4 linked regions of the Rattus norvegicus genome follow. The protein of the gene in region 3 binds, or shares a complex with, the protein of the main gene of each other region. Links are inferred from orthologs where the notes say so. Each region holds a gene or a part of one and is shown on either strand. Other genes may lie near its edges.

Region 1 (3,858 bases), on a different chromosome or scaffold from region 3:
AGTGGGTGGAATACGGGCGGGGAGGGACTCACCTGTGTTCAGCGGGCAGTCTCTGATCTGGAACTGGGCTTCATTCTCGTTGGGAATGTCCTTCCATGTGGCCAGGAACATCTGCCGGTCTACAGGGTCAACAGGGCAGGATAAGAGATAGAAGCCTAATAAAGTCTGGCCCTCAGCACCACATGGCAGTGAAGGAAGGCAGGCACCTGCTCCTCCAGTTCCCTCCAATGCCCTCTGCTTCCTGCCCCTCCTTTGCCTGACGAGCATCTGACCTCACTGTCTTCTCCTCTGCAGTTTGTTACACACGGCTCTGGGGCCAGTGGCAAAGGTGAGTGCCCGCCACACAGCTTCCAGGCATGGTGACTGACTTGGTTCTTTGCAGCCCATGGACGAGCATAAGGGTGAGCAGCAGCGCTCACAAGTAAGGTGGCACAGGCCACCTGCAAGCCAGGTAGGAGCAGCTGAAGACCCCCTCATAAGGCAAAGCTGTCCTTCTGGCCCTTATGTCAGGGCACTCGTCCCCCAGGCTCCCTAGCTGAGTCCTACTACACGAATCCCCATGGCCTCAAACTCACCCATCTTCCCGTCCTCCACGAAGAGGACATGCAGTGGGTACAAAGTGCTGAAGTAGAAGACGTCAATGTTGTTCTTCACAGCCACCTAGGCATGGGGGTCTCCAGTCAGTCCCCGGGCTTGACACCCTGACTCTTGGGCTTATCCCACCTCCTAGGGCCCAAGCAGGGTGTCCAGAGCGGGTTTCTCACAGGACCTCCCTTGTGGCCATGCCCTTTGTCCCCTAGCCCAGGTTCCAGCTGTAGCCGAGGGCACCATTCTCTCAGGCTTCCTGCTTCCTGGCTGAGGTGGGTAGAAATGGGGTGTCTGGCCCTGTGGGGACACACCTGAAGATTGTTCAGAGGCTCCATCTTCATGACTGAGCCCACCGTGTTAAGAGGCAGGGAGATCTCCACCGTCTGGTTGGGGCTCAGTGGGGCGTGCACTTGGAGTGGCGCAGCGGGGGCCAAGCCAAAGCTGAAAAGAGAAGCCCGACAGGAGCTTAGAGGGTGTGCAGGGTGATGGGTGTGCAGGGTGATGGGTGTGCAGGGGGATGGGTGTGCAGGGTGATGATGGGTGTGCAGGGGGATGGGTGTGCAGGGGGATGGGTGTGCAGGGTGATGGGTGTGCAGGGGGATGGGTGTGCAGGGTGATGATGGGTGTGCAGGGGGATGGGTGTGCAGGGGGATGGGTGTGCAGGGGGATGGGTGTGCAGGGGGATGGGTGTGCAGGGGGATGGGTGTGCATGGTGATGGGTGTGCAGGGTGATGGGTGTGCAGGGTGATGGGTGTGCGGGGTGATGGGTGTGCAGGGGGATGGGTGTGCAGGGTGATGGGTGTGCAGGGTGATGGGTGTGCATGGTGATGAGTAGAGCTTCTTCACCAAGTCAGCCTTTCCTGAGCTCATGACCACCCCTGCAAGAGCCTGGGTCCAGCATGACTTCTCTGCTGCTTTTTCTCCTCTGGGCTGGTTCTTGGTAGGCCAGGATAGCATAGCCCTCCCTCTCCCTCAGGACCTCCACCCAACACCAGGGCCTGAACGACGTTTCTCGATGGAAAACTGCCAGCCTAGATACTGCTAAGACCCATAACTCAAAAGAGGGCTATGTCTGAACTACAGCCGGCAACGCAATACAACACTACACGTTGTCCCAGTGGTGTGCAGGGAAACCTGAGCTGAGCATTCAGTATGTCCAGGGCAGCACATGGCAACAGGCCAATTTCCATCCTGGTAAAAGTCAGAATGCACAGTTCCGTCTTCCTGATGAGAACACAGACCCTTAGTGAGGAACAGCCTTACATCCAGCTTCCAGCTCTTACAGGGTGAATGGCTGCTGAGAACTGAACTATACTCTTATTTAGACTTGCCTAGCATCTAGAGGGAAGCCCAGGCCTGCCATCCTTGTCAGGTTTGCGGACTGTCACAGTTCTTGGCCTAGGATTCGCTCCCCAGGAATGGTTAACTGTACGGAGGCTCGTTCTAAGCAGTCATGCCCCTCTGGCCTCTAGTGTCCTGCGAATGGAGAGGCAGAGCTGCCTCGCCTCCCCAATCTCTCCTGAGGAAGCTGCCCCTTTAGTCAGTTTCTTAGAGGCTCAGTTTGCTCATCACTGGAGACACTCAGGAAGAGGAATCATCAGGAGGGGCTGCCACGGTTCCAGAGAGCCTGGCCTTGCTGCTCACCATGCCAGCACCTTTCCTCACCAATGTGTAGTACTGAAAACATGGGGGCTGGAGCAACAGGGAGCTTGGAGCAGCTAGTACTCATTCTCAGAGCAAGTCCTTGTCTGATGAGAAAACTTGGGCTGAGCACTGTTTTGCCCTCAGGGGAGCCTGGCTAGCAGGCCTACTACCCAACCCACTTTTTCAGAGCTGTTCCCCAACAGAAAAGGGACTCAGGCCTGGGAGAAGAGGCAGGAGGGAGGTGTAAGGCACCTCCAGCGGGGGGCTGCTGGCTTAGGGCAGTGATTTCTGACACAAAACTATCCTTTGGTTAGTAGAGGGCAAGTTGATGGGGATGCCCTGTCCACTCTGCCTGGTGCGTTGAAGTCCACACAGTGGTCAAGACACTGCTGTTGAGTCTGGCCAGGACTCACCTGTTCCGATTAAACTGGATAGCGAAATCTGTCATGACCTGCAGGGCCTTGTTAGTCAGCTGCAGATCCATGGAGATGGAGCCAACCTGCCGGGTGAAGGTGCCAGAGATTTCCAGCCCCTTGGCCTTCATGGCAGGGAGCCAAACCTGTAGGAAAAAAGGTGGGAGGAGTTGTGTGCCTCTTCCCCACCCAAGAGTCATAGCTAGCCTGGGACCCTTTTTTTCTTTCCTAAAGAGTCTTCTGATCAACCCATTTCTACCACTGAGGCATGTTATATGTACCCCGATGATAAAGCTAATAGTGTAGCCCACCCAGGGCCAGCATCATGGTATAGCTGTATATCAGAGAAGCTGAGGACAAAAGGGACATCTTCAGAGGTCAAAGAAGGCAATACTGAGGAAGAAGGTAAGCTTTGCCAGCACCCCGACAAGCCAAAATCAGAGCTGAGACCCAACAGCATTCTAGATCCTGGCCACAGCCTGAACCTTCCTTGGCTGTCACAGCCCGAACTCTCCTTGGCTGTCACAGCCCGAACTCTCCTTGGCTGTCATGGCCTGAATTCTCCTTGGCTGTCACAGCCCAAACTCTTCCTGCAGGAGATATGGCTGGCCTTCCACTGAAGACACTGGCCTGACCTGATAGTATGGCTAGTACAAAACAAGTTCTCACCTGCCAGGGTCCTGGCTGCCCCTAGCAGGCCGAGGAACAGAATTCCTCCATCAGGAAGCTCGCATTCATGAGCTCGTATACCTCTCCTCCTTACTGCTGCCCAGAGACTGTTAAGGGAAGTGTTTTGATGGTCCATCTACATCTGCGGCCTAGGGTGGCACTGCTGTGCACAGGGTGCTTGCTAACTAAATGGCAGGAATCAACCCAAGGCAGGTGGGGAATCTTGAATAAAAGACAAGCCACCCCAGTGGTAATAGTGCTGCGAAGGAAATACAGATGACTTGCTGCTGCTTCTGCGGGGACCAGCGACTGAGGAGGTGAGAAAGTCCTCTCTGGTGGCAAGGACTCTCCCTCCAGAGCCCGCCTGATTACTTCCAGCTCAGTCCCTGAAGCTCTCCTCACAGCACTGAGTGTGACCAGGTACCTCATCTCTACCAGACTGGCAGTGATGTCATCAGTTAAGGCCAGCTCATGGCTTCTCAATCCTTGAGTACCCAGTGAGTACCAGGCAGCAGGATCTTCCCTGTTTCATCCCTGTGACATC
Region 2 (3,976 bases), on a different chromosome or scaffold from region 3:
TTCCTGCTATTTATATGCTTTTCCTATTGTTATTAAATATATTTAACACTTACTAGGTATTAGCCCACCCTTTGGAGCAGATCTCCACAGAACAACAAAGATGCACTGTCTTGTAGTGATGCTACATAGACAAATAGATGACTTTTTATCCTTAATGACGATCCTGTAAGAATTTCTAAAATCAATTATTAATCTCGTTTATAACACTGCTATTAAATCCTTTCTGAAAGTCCAAACTGCAGTGAGAGCTCTGCCAGTCCCCACGCATCGCATCACGAGTTAACTGCTTCTGAGACAGCAAGCAGGCATCTGCTACTCAGAACACATTCAAGAGGTTGTGAAACCATTCACCTAAGGTCATAAAAGGGAGCTAATGACTTATTTTAGGTGCTAGGACAAAGGATAAAATATTGCCTGTGTTTATCTATACAAAACTTCCCTAATTACCTTGTCAAAAAAGTTATGGTGTTTAACTTTCAATGAACCTTTTGAGCTTGGGGACTGATGATGGATGTTTAGCCAGATAATCTCTCCCGATGGAAATGCATGTAAACAGTCTCTGTTGTAAACTTCATTAATGATTTCAATTATGTGTAAACTGTGACGAACTTCCCTACCCTGTGATTATGTATCCTAGAAGATGTCTAAGTGCTGAGGACAAAGAGCCCCTCTTAAGCATCCTGCTTATCCCCTTTTTCCTTTCATAGGAAACTTTTTAAAACTCAGAAATCAACACTAAAATCACTTCTCAAAGTGTCCCTTTTACTTCCTGTGACTTCCACTAGCAGAGATAGAACAAAGGCTTAATCTTCTGTTGTTTTAAGATTGGGGTGCTTCTGAGAGACACTCAGAAGGCAGGTCAGCTACTGAAGCAAAGTGACTTAGACGTAAGAAAGGGAAATGTTTTGTTATTAAAGAGCAACCGTAAACACTTTGTAAGACCACGTCTCACACCTACTGAAGTTCACCCCTCCACTGTCTGAAGAAAAATCAAACAAGACAGAAGGATCACTGGGGCTGGCCCCCGGCAAATGTGTTTTTGCTTTTTTTCAGATAGGGATTCTCTGCACAGTCTTGGCTATCTTGGAACTTGTTCTGAAAACCAGGCTGCCCTCAAACTCAGAGATCTGCCTTCTTCCTTCACCCCATCCATCAATTGGAGAAAGGCACAAGCTGTACATGTATGTCAGCCACAGCACATGCATGGTCTTACCTTAGCTGTTTTTCTGGGTGCAGGCTCACTGTCAGAGCCTGACTCTGACTCTGAAGAACTTTCTTCTGTGGAACTGGACTCCTCACTGGACGACTCCGAGGCCTGAGATTTTCCATTTTTCTTCTCCCTGTCTTCTGAGGCACTGTGAATAAAGATGAATTTTGAGATATAAACTGTAAAACCGTATGTTTAAAATTTAAAATTTAAGTAATAGCTTAAAAATCCTGAGATGAATGAAAACCAAATAAGGGCTGCCTAGATGACTCCATGGGTAAAGGTCCCCATGGCCAAGCAGGGCGGCCAGCATGATCGTCTGTTGTCAGGACCTACACAGAGGAGGACAGAATCGACCCACAGGTGGTCCTCTGATCTCCGAATGTGCACTGGGAAGTGTGCACTCACGCAGAAACAAATTTAAATTTAATGAATAAAGGTAGTGTTACCAAGAAAGCTAGAATGACTTCGAGTGCAAAATCACAAAACAGCACTTGCTGGTAGAATCAGTAACCATACAGAAAATGCTACGAGAGGCCAGGTGGACTTTGGGGAACTAAGAGTAAGAAATTCTTAGAACTCAGGCTGAGTTTTAGAATGAGGTTTCAAATATTGCTTCCTGGTAAGTTTAAGAGGTTATACATTGACTTTTGTGAAAGGACCTACATTTGGTAAATTCTGTTTCTTTCTCAGAAAAATCAACAAGGTAAACACAGAAGTGTGATCTTAAATATGTATGTAAGAAGATGTTAATTGGCTCAGAGGAAACGACTTGTTTATTTAGAGACAGGGTCTCCACACCACACTCTCACAGGCTTCTTCTCATCGCTCACTGAGGTAACCAGTATTATTGCTAACTTGTGAGCCCCAAGCTAGGTGCCAGAGGATAACTGTGAGGACGCAGATGACCTGCATGTCAGCTTAGTGTCTGGGCTGCACTGGAGCATACAGAGAAATACAGCAGCAGTGATGAGGCATACAAGCAAGGTGTCCCAAGGTGTCAAAGGGACACCTACACTAGATACCCACGATCAGGAAGCTTCTTGAGAAAAAGAACATGACTTGAGAAACAGAAGTGGGGTGAGTGGGCAAATTAAAACTATTCCCCAAAGAGAACAGAGAAAATTGAGATGGACTATCTGTCTCCAAGTCCCCCAAAATGCAGTTCCTCATGGTGTACGTCTGTGTAAGTGTACATGCATGTATGCACATGTGTGGGCCTTGTAAAACTAACCTAGGGGCCAGAGGTAGCTCAGCAGTTAAGAGTGCTGACAGCTCTTATACACGACCCTGGCTTCAGTTCTAAGCACTCACACGGCAGTTTGCAACAGCCTGTAACTTCCAGTCCAGAGAATCTAAGACTGTCCTAACCTCCTCAGGATTCTGCATGATGTGGTGTATACACACACACACACACACACACACACACACACACACACGCCAATCTATCTGAAGGTCTTCTGTTTTGTTTTTAATAATCTGCCTCAGGCGGGGCAGTTCTAGGTGTTTCATTCCAATGATCTACTGCAAATGCTCTCTTCCTGGCTTTATTATTAACCCACTTACGACAATGAAACCAATAACTTTAAGGACACACTGACATGAGAGGGAATCCTGAACTCTGAAATCAAATCTGTCTCCTGATGTCCTAATCCCCTTCCCTCTATCTACTGTTTCTCCCATGAAGACACTTTGTAATGAATGTAAGACTGAAAGTTGGTAACAAACGCCTGTGACTAGGAAAGAGTAGTTTCTGAGGAGACTTAAAGATTATCAAGAACTTCCAAAGTGGTGAGGGCAAATGACAAGCAAACTCTACAGCGACGGGCTGCAGGAACGGGAGGAGGAGAGCAGTGTGGGAAGAAGGATCAATAGCTCTCAGAATTGATTTCTGTGGAGGAAATATGTTGCTGTTTATTAAAAATGGAGCAATGGCAACATCTCAGAGCACATGTAATTATACTTGAAGATGGAAAAATATGTTGTTTTCTCTCCTACAAAATGGTAGCAATATATATTGTCCCCAATCCACTGTTTAAAACACAGACCTGCAAATAGAACGGCTTGGACTGTCACTGTGGCTCACTTTGGTGTAACGATTACTTTGAATTCAAACATAAAAAGATATGAAGCCAGTATGTGATTAAAAGCATATATCATGGTGACACGTGCCATCTGAGGAAACACTGCTATGCTGAGGAACACATCTAGAAACAAGCACTTTCCCAAACCAGATCAGCCCAGCACAGCTAGTCTGATGTGAAAGCCAAGCAGTGTCCTCACACGCCAGGGACCGCAAGCCAGGGCCTCTCTCCTGCAGCAGGCGAGCTGCTCTAAGGAAACGTCACTCCTGGCACTGCAGATAAGATTTTAAAGGTAAAAGTGTTATTTTATTATGCATCACTCAATTCTGATGGTAATTATTGTTTACCTTACTGCTTAGAGTTTCAGATGTTAACCTAATGAGAAGAATTTCCTGGTAACTAGGTTTTTAACTTTGCAATGATGAAAAGCCTGTATTAATTTAACCTACAGATTTCATTTGTTCTGAACAGGAAAAACAATATAAATCACTTTTAAAATCATTAAATCCTGACTTAAATTAATAAAGTCATAATTAGGGCATTATGCTGTGTTTGTTATGGAAGTGGCAGGGCGAGCTGCTTTAATTACTGTCTGTAATAAAAGGAGCAGAGAGCGTACTGCGCGCAATCAGTGCTGTCAGCCACGACTGAGCCCAAGCTGCAAGCTCATCATGGGAGTGGGCAG
Region 3 (4,470 bases):
TGGGGAGGTGGGAAGAAGCTGTCTAGGTTTAGTAGTAGGGTCTACTTCAAATGTATCATCCATGACACATGCAGATAGTGAATATCTACAATGGCTGTTTAAATTTTAGCTGACACAAATAATTATTTATGTGGTACAGGTGACTTTTTTTTTTTTTTTTGGTTCTTTTTTTTCGGAGCTGGGGACCGAACCCAGGGCCTTGCGCTTCCTAGGTAAGCGCTCTACCACTGAGCTAAATCCCCAGCCCCTACAGGTGACTTTTTGAGTAGGACTACAATGTATAGGGGTGACATTAGGATAAAGAGGACTACCACCCTGTCTCTACTTCTTCAGTTTTGCCTTTTTAGGTACAGAAAGGGAGTTTGGTTCTTGATGAACCTGTGGTTTTTCTAGACACCCCATTTCTTTGTCTCCTTATCCATGAAGTGGCTAAGACAGGCTTCTGACATGGCTGAAATCTCAGGCCTCTGGAAACGTCCTGCCATTTCTCCAGGGTGTGTATAGGCAGCACCACCTTATGTTTTTCACAAACACTTGCTGTGTGCTGAGGGTGGGAGAGAACAGGCAGGTGCCCCCAGAGAAATTTACAGAAGCAGCATTTAAAAATGGAGCCCTGAGTGATGGAAAGGGATGCGTTTAGGGTCAAGAAGGTGATTATTGCATAGAATCCTGGCAGGCTCACAACTCTGGGGAGGGTTCTAGAGGTCTCAACCCGCAAACGCAGTGAGGATGCCCTGCACCCTGTGTCTTGACACAACAGTGGCTGAAGTAAGCCCAGGCAACACAATTGCCTCCTGCCAACTCAATAGATAAGGCTCCAGGCTCAAAAGAATCTCCTAAGTCCCTCAAAATCTCCTGCCTGTGGGAGTCCTCACAACAGCACATGGAGTGGAAGAACTGGACAGGGAGGACAGAACCTGGGCCTCACTCCAGCACAGATGGGGAGAGTTAACGGATTCCACCTTCTCTCCTGCACCCTGAAGGAGGCCACCCCATTAGGGGCAACCCAGAGTAGCCTCTCAGGCAGTGCTATGCCCGCACAGGTCTCTAGTCCTCTCAGTCAGCTCTGAGTGTGCACACGGGTCCAAGACGAGTGTAGGGACATGGTGTTTGTCTGACATTTGGCCTGTGCTTCTTCCCACTTTGGCCATTTGTCTGTTACATCATTCTCTTCAATGCCCCGACTCAGCTGAAGTATCAGAGACCCTGGGGTACTCTGAGAAGGACATCACACTCCCAGGGGTAACACGACCTTCCCACTCTGACCTTGGCGCTCTAGAACGCTTACTGGCCTCAACCCCCGCATCCGCGGAATGGGCTGGAATTCCGCAGGAAGATGCGCGTGCGCACGCGCCGTAGGACAGGGAAATCCATGCACCACACCCTTGCGCGTTCTAATCTCCGGAGCCGGTGTGCTAGCCCGGGACCCGATCCGGAAACAGAGCGACTTTGGCTCCACCCAACGAAGGCGTCAGGGTGCAGACGCGCAAGCGCTATTCGTGAAGGGGCGGGGCCTCCTGCGTGCCCGCCCTCTTCCCCCGGCGTGCCCCGCGGCAGGCGCTGACGTGGCTGCCGTCAGCGCCGCCATCTTGTGGGAGCGAAACCAACGCCTGGCTGGGAGCAGCCGCCGCGGAGGTGAGAAGCGGGGCTCTCTGAGGCCGAAGCTGGGGAGGCCACGGGCTGGTCATCGTGGGAATCGCGGGGCTCTCGGCTGCGGCTGCTAAGGACCGAGTCTGGTCGGGCGGCCTGAGGTCTGTGCTCAGTGGGCTCGGCGGCAGGCCGGACAGAAGATCAGGGCGCCCCCAAGTCCCGCGTCGCCCACGGCCGCTTGGCCCTCCCCCACTCCGCGGCCCTTACGCCAGGCCGCCCGCCGCGGGCCGCAGCCCGGAAGTCCGGCCAGGACGCCGGCTCTTCTCCAGGAAGCCAGGTTTCCTGCTGTTCCTCTCTGCGCCCTTCCTAGGCTCCACGGCCCGGGAGCCCGTTGCGGGGAGCAGGGCTCGGGGGTCACGGAGTTTCCCTTCTTAAAGGCTAACCGGCAGCTTCAGAAACGGCATGAGCCTTGGGCCTGGGGAAACTGAGGCTCGGGTGGCCCTGAGACGGCGTCAAGGTCACTCGGGTGTCGAGGTCTTCCTCCTCTGTCTCTCGAGTCCTGTTCCTGTCGGCCTAGAGGACCGAAGTTGTAGGAAGGGGGAAGGGAAAGGGACAGGTGTCGGACAGGGACTCGGAACTGATGACCGGGTGCTGGGATTTAACACATATTCGGATCTCAGGGGATCCCAGAATGCCCACTGTGATCCCCAATTAGCCGTGATTTGGCCCCGCATACCCTCGATGAGATCTGCAATGGGGTCTGCACTCTAGAGCCCAGTGGCCTCTGGAGGGGTTTGAGCGTTATTTCGCCTCTTGGCTGACTCCCTTTATGCTTTTGGTGGATTAGAAAAGGCCATTCTGAATTGGAGAATCTTTAACCTGCCCATGGAATAACCTGCTCCCAGCCTCTGAGCAATATGCAGGTACAGAGGCCAGATCCAGTACAGGATTCTGGCTGTCTATTCAGGATGGTCATGCCATGTCAGGTTGTAATGTACATATGTTATGTGGTCTAGCCACATATAACAAACACTAAATGCCAGGGAATCTGCTTGCATCAAGAAGGAATTCTCCCATTCAAACAGCAAGTGGCTGCTTTGTCAGGAAAGGAAGGGTCAGCTGCATTTGGTCCCAGAAGTCACTGGAGGGCCCAGTAGTTGATGCCACAACCCATGTTGGAGTAGTCTGTTGTAGTTCTTGTTTCACAAGTAGTAGTGGTCAGCAGTTTTTCCTGCAGGCTGATTCTGGTGTTTTCTGCTGTGACTGTCAGAATGGTGAGATGCCATGGTGCTTTGTGTGCTGGCCTCATGTCTCTCCACTGTCTTAACCAGTATCTACAGTGTCTGACATGGGTGACTGTAAAGTCCTCACCTTTGAGCTTTTAGCAGGGCTATTAGAAATAGCCTAGACTGTGAGATTTGATGCACAGTATTACTACCTGGTTTCTGCTGTGGTCAAGGGCCAATCGCAGATGTGGGAGCTACATTGTTGGAGTTACATTGTCTCCACAGCATAAAGGTTTCCCTCATTGGAATGTCGATCACTTAGCCTTAGGTTTGAAAATGGGTCTGAGTCACTGGATCATCACATTGTTCTCTTGTTTGTGAGGCAGATGTACAGAATTGCTACTTCAAAAAGGTTTAGGAGCGGAATAGTAGAGTGCTTTTCTAGCCTGCATGAAGTCTTGGTTTGGTCTCTAGCACTGCACACAAGGTTTAAGACAGTGTGAATAACAGCTGACTCATACTCAGTCTACTCATCCTGAGAGGAAAGTAGCAATAACTAGTTCTGTGCCCCACACACACAGTTCTAATTGTAAAATCATGCAGCTGGGATGTCCACTACACCTCTTGCACCTTGTAGAATGGATGTCCACAATCTTCACTCCAATGGGCTGCTTCCTCTGCCCAGGACCAGACAGGCTTCAAAACACCTTTTTTTTTTTTTTTTTTTAATGTAAAGGTAAATTAGACAAGCAGTTGCTATGGTAACACAGTGTCAGGAAGCCTAACCAAGAGAAAAAACTTGTTGTGCAAGTTCATGCAATAGCTTGTTACAATGGTTTGAAAGTGTTGGGTCAAGTTGTTTTTTTTTTTTTTTTTTTTTTCTTTCAGATTCTTAGAATTAAATGTTACATTGATGAGCAGGGTTTTTCTGTGTCCCCTGGCTGTCCTGAAACTCCCTCTTGAGACCAGGCTGGCCTCATACTCAGAAATCTGCCTCCATAGTTGGAATTAAAGACATAAGCTACCACCTCCTGGCTCTGATACACAGGTTTAAATCTACTCTTAATCACAAGGGCTATGTCATTTGCACTGAGGAGCCATCAGTGAGTCCCATTAGACCCAGCGTGCTCTAGGCTGCTATGTCATTCATGGTCTTTCTTCCCTGTTGGCTTTCTTGAATCCCTTTGAGCTTTTATATTCATGAAATTGTTAGAGATGGTGAGGAGAGAAAAATGAAAATTTCTTTGATTCGAAATCTTGACAAGCAAGAGCATCTTTTTGTGTATGCTGAATCTACTATTGAAGATTTGACACTGCCTACTGAGAAGCTAAAGGTAGCTGGGGTGGGAGTGTGTATACATTGGGATTCCTCATTACACACCAAGGTCTGTGTCCAGTATTGATTGTGATACAGATTACAGATAATAGCTTGTGCAGTTTGTCAATGTCTGAAAGGTAACAGCCCTCTCTGGTGGGTCAAGTGACTTGATAAGCTGGAAAACTTGTTAGTGGAGGCACACCCAGTCTCTTTATTTCCAGAGGGACCTTTTAGGTGGTCACCCGAGTTCCACCACCCTGTCCTGCTACACAGATAGTGGTGAGACAGATTAGAACCCAGCCTCCACACACTCTGATCCTCTTTACTGATTTTTTT
Region 4 (3,976 bases), on a different chromosome or scaffold from region 3:
CACACACACACACACACACACACACACACACACACACACACTGCTGCCAACCATCTCTGAGACACAGACACACTGTTTGGCTAGGCTAATCTCAAACTCCTGTGCTTAAGCAACTTTTTTGTCTCTGCCTCTCAAATGCTGTCCTACAGGCACACATCACGCTGTCCAATTGGAGATGATTTCTGTAGCACCCAACTCTGAAACGCCTTTTCTGTGCTCAAGCATCTTCAGTGGTTTCCCTTTGTCCCCAAACTCCTGGTAGCCATGGCAACCTTATTCCTTATACTCCAAGATGTAAAGGCAAATTCTGAACTGCTTTCTAGAAACCTTTTCCATTGTCTCTCTGTCTCTCACAGTGACTCTGCTCTCTTGAATTATACCCAATCATGCTCTTCTCAATACATGACTTCCAAGCACAGTGTGACTGCGACCTCTTCTGCCTACTAAGGAACACACAAACATTGTTCTGTGTTTTCCAGGAGTCACACCCAAATCATACTCCATTCTAATCTTCCTTTCATCCTCAAACCGGTAGATCCTTTGGGGACCTTCCCCCAACTATAGAGGACTTCAGTGGCTGGAAGCTAGTATAGCTGAAGGGTGAGTATGGGCTCTGATAACCCCGTCCCCCCCTGGGATGCATGCTAGGGTTCAAGAGGGAACTCACATGAATTCTGGAAGAGCTGCATATGCATTTCCACCAGGGGAAAGGACTGACGGAAGCTGTATGTCACCAAGATCTTCTTCTTCTGGAAAATTTTGGTGACCTTTGGCAAACAAGGGTGGGAAAAAGATAAGAGGCAAGGTTTAGGGTGGGGGATTTCCAAATAATACCCATTTCTAGTAACCATCTTCCCCACCTATTCCCAGTAACAGGCATATGCACATGAGCACATATACCCACAAGGAAGAACTGAAACTTTAGGAGTGGAGAGGTGGGAGAGAATGCAAGTTTGTGATATCATGACCATGCACAACAAGCATTTGCAACTCTTTTTCCCGACCCCCCCCCCCAGGACCAAACCCTGGGCCTTTCACTTGCTAGGCAAGCGCTCTACCACTGAGCTAAATCCTCAACCCCAGCATTTGCAACTCTTAAAGGAACTAAATGTTGTTCCCTCCAGGAAGCCTGTCCTAATACCTCACATAGATTTCTGTCTCCATCTTCTGAGCTTCCAAGGTGTTGCTCTCATACCTCTTCCCTTGTCAGATTTAAATATGTGATTGCCCCTGCTAGCCTGGAGGGCAGGGGGTTTGGTGGGTCTAGTTTTCAGGTTTTCTCTCTTACCCCAACTCCCACCATCCAAAACTAGCTTATAATGACAACCTCTGCAGCGCCCCTGAACAAGGTTAACGATCTCTCAATGACCAAAAGTCTTTATCAAGTATGTAGAGATTTTAGATTCATCCCTAACTTAAGTTGGACAATCTACAAATGGCTATTTTATTCCATGTATTTTGTTTGCTGGGGAATGAAACCTGGGTCCAGACAATTGCTCTATCATTAAGCTACAGCCTCATCCACTACAAATGGCTCTTCAAAGGTTTGGTTTAGATTGGTTCCAGTGGTGTGGTGTGGGTGGTTGAGACTAGACCTCTGTCATGTAGTCCACTCTGATTTCAACATTCTGTTCCTTTTGCCTCCACCTCCCAAATGCTTATAGGAGTTTATCAGCACACCATGTTGCAAAACGCATTTTAGGCCATTTGTTTGTGAGTCCTTGAATACAAAGGCTTATGGATATATCTCCATGTACTCGGTGCCTAGAACAGAGCTAGATAAACAGGGGTGTTGGTACATGAAGGGCATCTAACAGGGACTCAGCATCCGAGTGGGCCAGGCACACCTGGTTTGAGATGGAATCATCTCTTCCTCACCCTCTTCTCTCTTATAGTGCTGGGAATGGAACCCAGATCCTTGCAAGTGCTAAGTAAGCACTCTACTGCTGAACTGCATTGTCAGGCACTGACTTCCTGTTTCATCCTCTTGACAACTCTAGGAGATAAGGGTTAGCACCATTTCATGAAGCAAGACACTAAGGTTTGCAGAGGGTGTTGGAGGTATGTTGTCTAAACTCATGATTCTCAACTAGAGATGATTTTGAGCTGCTTCCATAGGATACAGAACAACATCTGGAGAAGACATTGCTTTCTTTACTTTTGTTCCTTCCACCTTTTCTTCCCTGAAGATGTTCCTTCCCCTCCCACCCTTCCCCTTCTATTTCTTTTTCTGCTTTTCTCTAGAGAACACATTTTTGGTTGAAGGTTTGCTGCTCCCTTCTAGTAGGTATCCCAGGGTGCTGCTAAACATACTACGATACACAAGACAGACCCTTGCAAGAAAGAATTGCCTTGCCTCAAAATAACAACAGTAGTGACAAGACAGAGAAATGCTAATGTGAAGATGAAAATACCAAGAAGGAACAAGACTGCTGGTCTCAGGAGTACTGTCTCGGAGCAGAGGGAGAATATTTGCTCTTTGTGACCCCAAGAAACAGTGGAGAATGTAAAGTAAGACCGAACCACATCAGGAGGCAGATTCGAACCAGGTGTATTGGCACACACCTGTAATTCTAGCTAAGAGGCAGAGGCAGGTAGATTTCTGTGAGTTTGAGGCTAGCCTGGTGCACATAGTAAATTACAGGACAGCCAGAGCTATTCAGTGAGACTCTTTATTTTAAAAACAAAACAAAAAGCAGTCCCCCCCCCAAAAAAAACCAGATTCAAGCAGTTGGGGCTAAGCCATCTTGGAGAGTAGCTCTTGCCTAGGAAATCCTGAAAAATCCCTTTTGATATGTAGAATCCAACAAATTCTATCACTAAAAGGTGGGTATCTCTGTACCAGTGGTATGCTTCATTTTAATCACTTCCAACATCAAGAAAACTGAGAGGTTCCCAGAGCCACAGATTCACAACTGTGCTACGGTGCAGTGGGCAGGGACATTTCCTACCACTTCCCAGATTACATATCTATTATTAGCCCCCTACTAATGTCCCTGTGTGGTTCTCACTACATCAAAATGAAGGAAACGGAGGGACAGAGACCTTACTGGAGACCATGCAGATGGCATGCTGGAGCACTGTACCAAGCACACTGCACACAACACAGTTTGCACTAGACCCAGCAGCTCTGCTATCTCCCTCCCATTTCCTTCTGCACAATGCCCATACCACAAGGAGGTCATTGAAGAGGAAGACCTCCCGCTGATGCAGCCCCAGCCTTTGGGGGCGATTTGGATCTGGCACCTCATAGAGCTGGCAGCAGCAAACCAGTCGACGGTGAGGGAGCGACAGGACCTGGACAGGTGTGGAAAAGTGGTGGTCAGTAAGGCCACCCCATCAGTTTCAGGCCTCTGGTACCTTAACAAGGCATATCTGTCACTCTGACACAAAGAATATAAACAACTAAGTCCTTTAAGCTTTTCTGCTACCTTGTCTTTGTCCCTCTAGAACCTTCTTGTCTGAAATGTCTTTCTTGCCCAGGCCAGCTAAATTTTGTCCTCTTTCACACCACAATTCCCAAGTTATTTTCCAAGAAGCCTTTCTGACTTCCTTTGACTTAAAATGGCCTCTCCCTGCTTTCTGTTCCTCTAAATTAGACTAGGAGGCAGAAGTTTTATTTGTGTCTTTGTCTGGGAACCTCACTAATCTTTGAGTACCCCTAAAGACAGCAAAATGTTGGGATCACTGGTAAGACAGTCATAAATGTTTGCTGGCAATAGGGTATCTTCTTAGCTATTACAGCTTGGCTCTCTTTACCTAGATAAAAAGAAAATATTCATACCACACCTCTGATGGTCGGAATGGTTTGCAATAAACTAAAGGCACTTATGTAAATCTATACCATGATTCCTAAGGAATTATCATATTTCCCACTTTATTTTATAGGTAAGGGGAATCTGGGGCTTAGGAGGCCAGTGACTTACCACACAAGGATGCCTCCTATCACCCCAGTCACTTACCGGTTTCTTGCCAA

The links.
Region 1: the proteins of Arf1 (region 3) and Ap1b1 are in contact, whole or in part, in a cryo-EM structure (PDB 7R4H), measured with the Homo sapiens proteins. The link is inferred for Rattus norvegicus from reciprocal best matches to the Homo sapiens genes ARF1 and AP1B1. Residues at the interface, in NP_001019397.1 of Homo sapiens: Glu17, Met18, Tyr35, Ile46, Thr48, Ile49, Gly50, Phe51, Asn52, Val53, Glu54, Thr64, Trp66, Lys73, Leu77, Arg79, His80, Tyr81, Gln83, Asn84; in NP_001118.3 of Homo sapiens: Asn23, Asp25, Pro52, Asp53, Val55, Asn56, Met58, Gln59, Met83, Ile85, Met86, Ala87, Val88, Asn89, Thr90, Val92, Lys93, Tyr121.
Region 2: the proteins of Arf1 (region 3) and Ap3b1 are in contact, whole or in part, in a cryo-EM structure (PDB 9C5B), measured with the Homo sapiens proteins. The link is inferred for Rattus norvegicus from reciprocal best matches to the Homo sapiens genes ARF1 and AP3B1. Residues at the interface, in NP_001019397.1 of Homo sapiens: Glu17, Arg19, Tyr35, Ile46, Pro47, Thr48, Ile49, Gly50, Phe51, Asn52, Val53, Glu54, Lys73, Ile74, Leu77, His80, Tyr81, Asn84; in NP_003655.3 of Homo sapiens: Glu52, Asn54, Pro81, Val84, Lys85, Val87, Ala88, Asp111, Leu112, Leu114, Leu115, Ile117, Ser118, Thr119, Gln121, Arg122.
Region 4: the proteins of Arf1 (region 3) and Iqsec2 are in contact, whole or in part, in a crystal structure (PDB 6FAE), measured with the Homo sapiens proteins. The link is inferred for Rattus norvegicus from reciprocal best matches to the Homo sapiens genes ARF1 and IQSEC2. Residues at the interface, in NP_001019397.1 of Homo sapiens: Arg19, Gly24, Leu25, Asp26, Ala27, Lys30, Thr31, Ile46, Pro47, Thr48, Ile49, Gly50, Phe51, Asn52, Val53, Glu54, Thr55, Thr64, Trp66, Asp67, Val68, Gly69, Gly70, Gln71, Lys73, Ile74, Pro76, Leu77, Trp78, His80; in NP_001104595.1 of Homo sapiens: Arg810, Gln811, Gln841, Arg845, Val846, Gln847, Gly848, Glu849, Ala850, Gln851, Val853, Glu854, Glu858, Asp879, Phe882, Ile883, Phe886, Ala887, Ile889, Leu890, Asn892, Thr893, Asp894, Tyr896, Ser897, Pro898, Ser899, Val900, Arg904, Met906.

Annotation. Positions count from the first base shown.
Region 1 is NC_086032.1:84,138,368-84,142,225, reverse strand, and holds part of Ap1b1 (AP-1 complex subunit beta-1), read right to left. Parts: intron 2,792-3,858; coding exon 2,646-2,791; intron 2,207-2,645; exon of another isoform or gene 2,110-2,206; intron 1,030-2,109; coding exon 900-1,029; intron 661-899; coding exon 576-660; intron 120-575; coding exon 33-119; intron 1-32. UniProt on the Homo sapiens protein: Subunit of clathrin-associated adaptor protein complex 1 that plays a role in protein sorting in the late-Golgi/trans-Golgi network (TGN) and/or endosomes.
Region 2 is NC_086020.1:27,453,372-27,457,347, reverse strand, and holds part of Ap3b1 (AP-3 complex subunit beta-1), read right to left. Parts: intron 1,356-3,976; coding exon 1,214-1,355; intron 1-1,213. UniProt on the Homo sapiens protein: Subunit of non-clathrin- and clathrin-associated adaptor protein complex 3 (AP-3) that plays a role in protein sorting in the late-Golgi/trans-Golgi network (TGN) and/or endosomes.
Region 3 is NC_086028.1:44,511,116-44,515,585, reverse strand, and holds the start of Arf1 (ADP-ribosylation factor 1), read left to right. Parts: upstream 1-1,591; 5' UTR 1,592-1,635; exon of another isoform or gene 1,636-1,927; intron 1,928-4,470. UniProt on the Homo sapiens protein: Small GTPase involved in protein trafficking between different compartments. Modulates vesicle budding and uncoating within the Golgi complex. In its GTP-bound form, triggers the recruitment of coatomer proteins to the Golgi membrane.
Region 4 is NC_086039.1:24,807,037-24,811,012, reverse strand, and holds part of Iqsec2 (IQ motif and SEC7 domain-containing protein 2), read right to left. Parts: coding exon 3,963-3,976; intron 3,298-3,962; coding exon 3,172-3,297; intron 768-3,171; coding exon 668-767; intron 1-667. UniProt on the Homo sapiens protein: Is a guanine nucleotide exchange factor for the ARF GTP-binding proteins.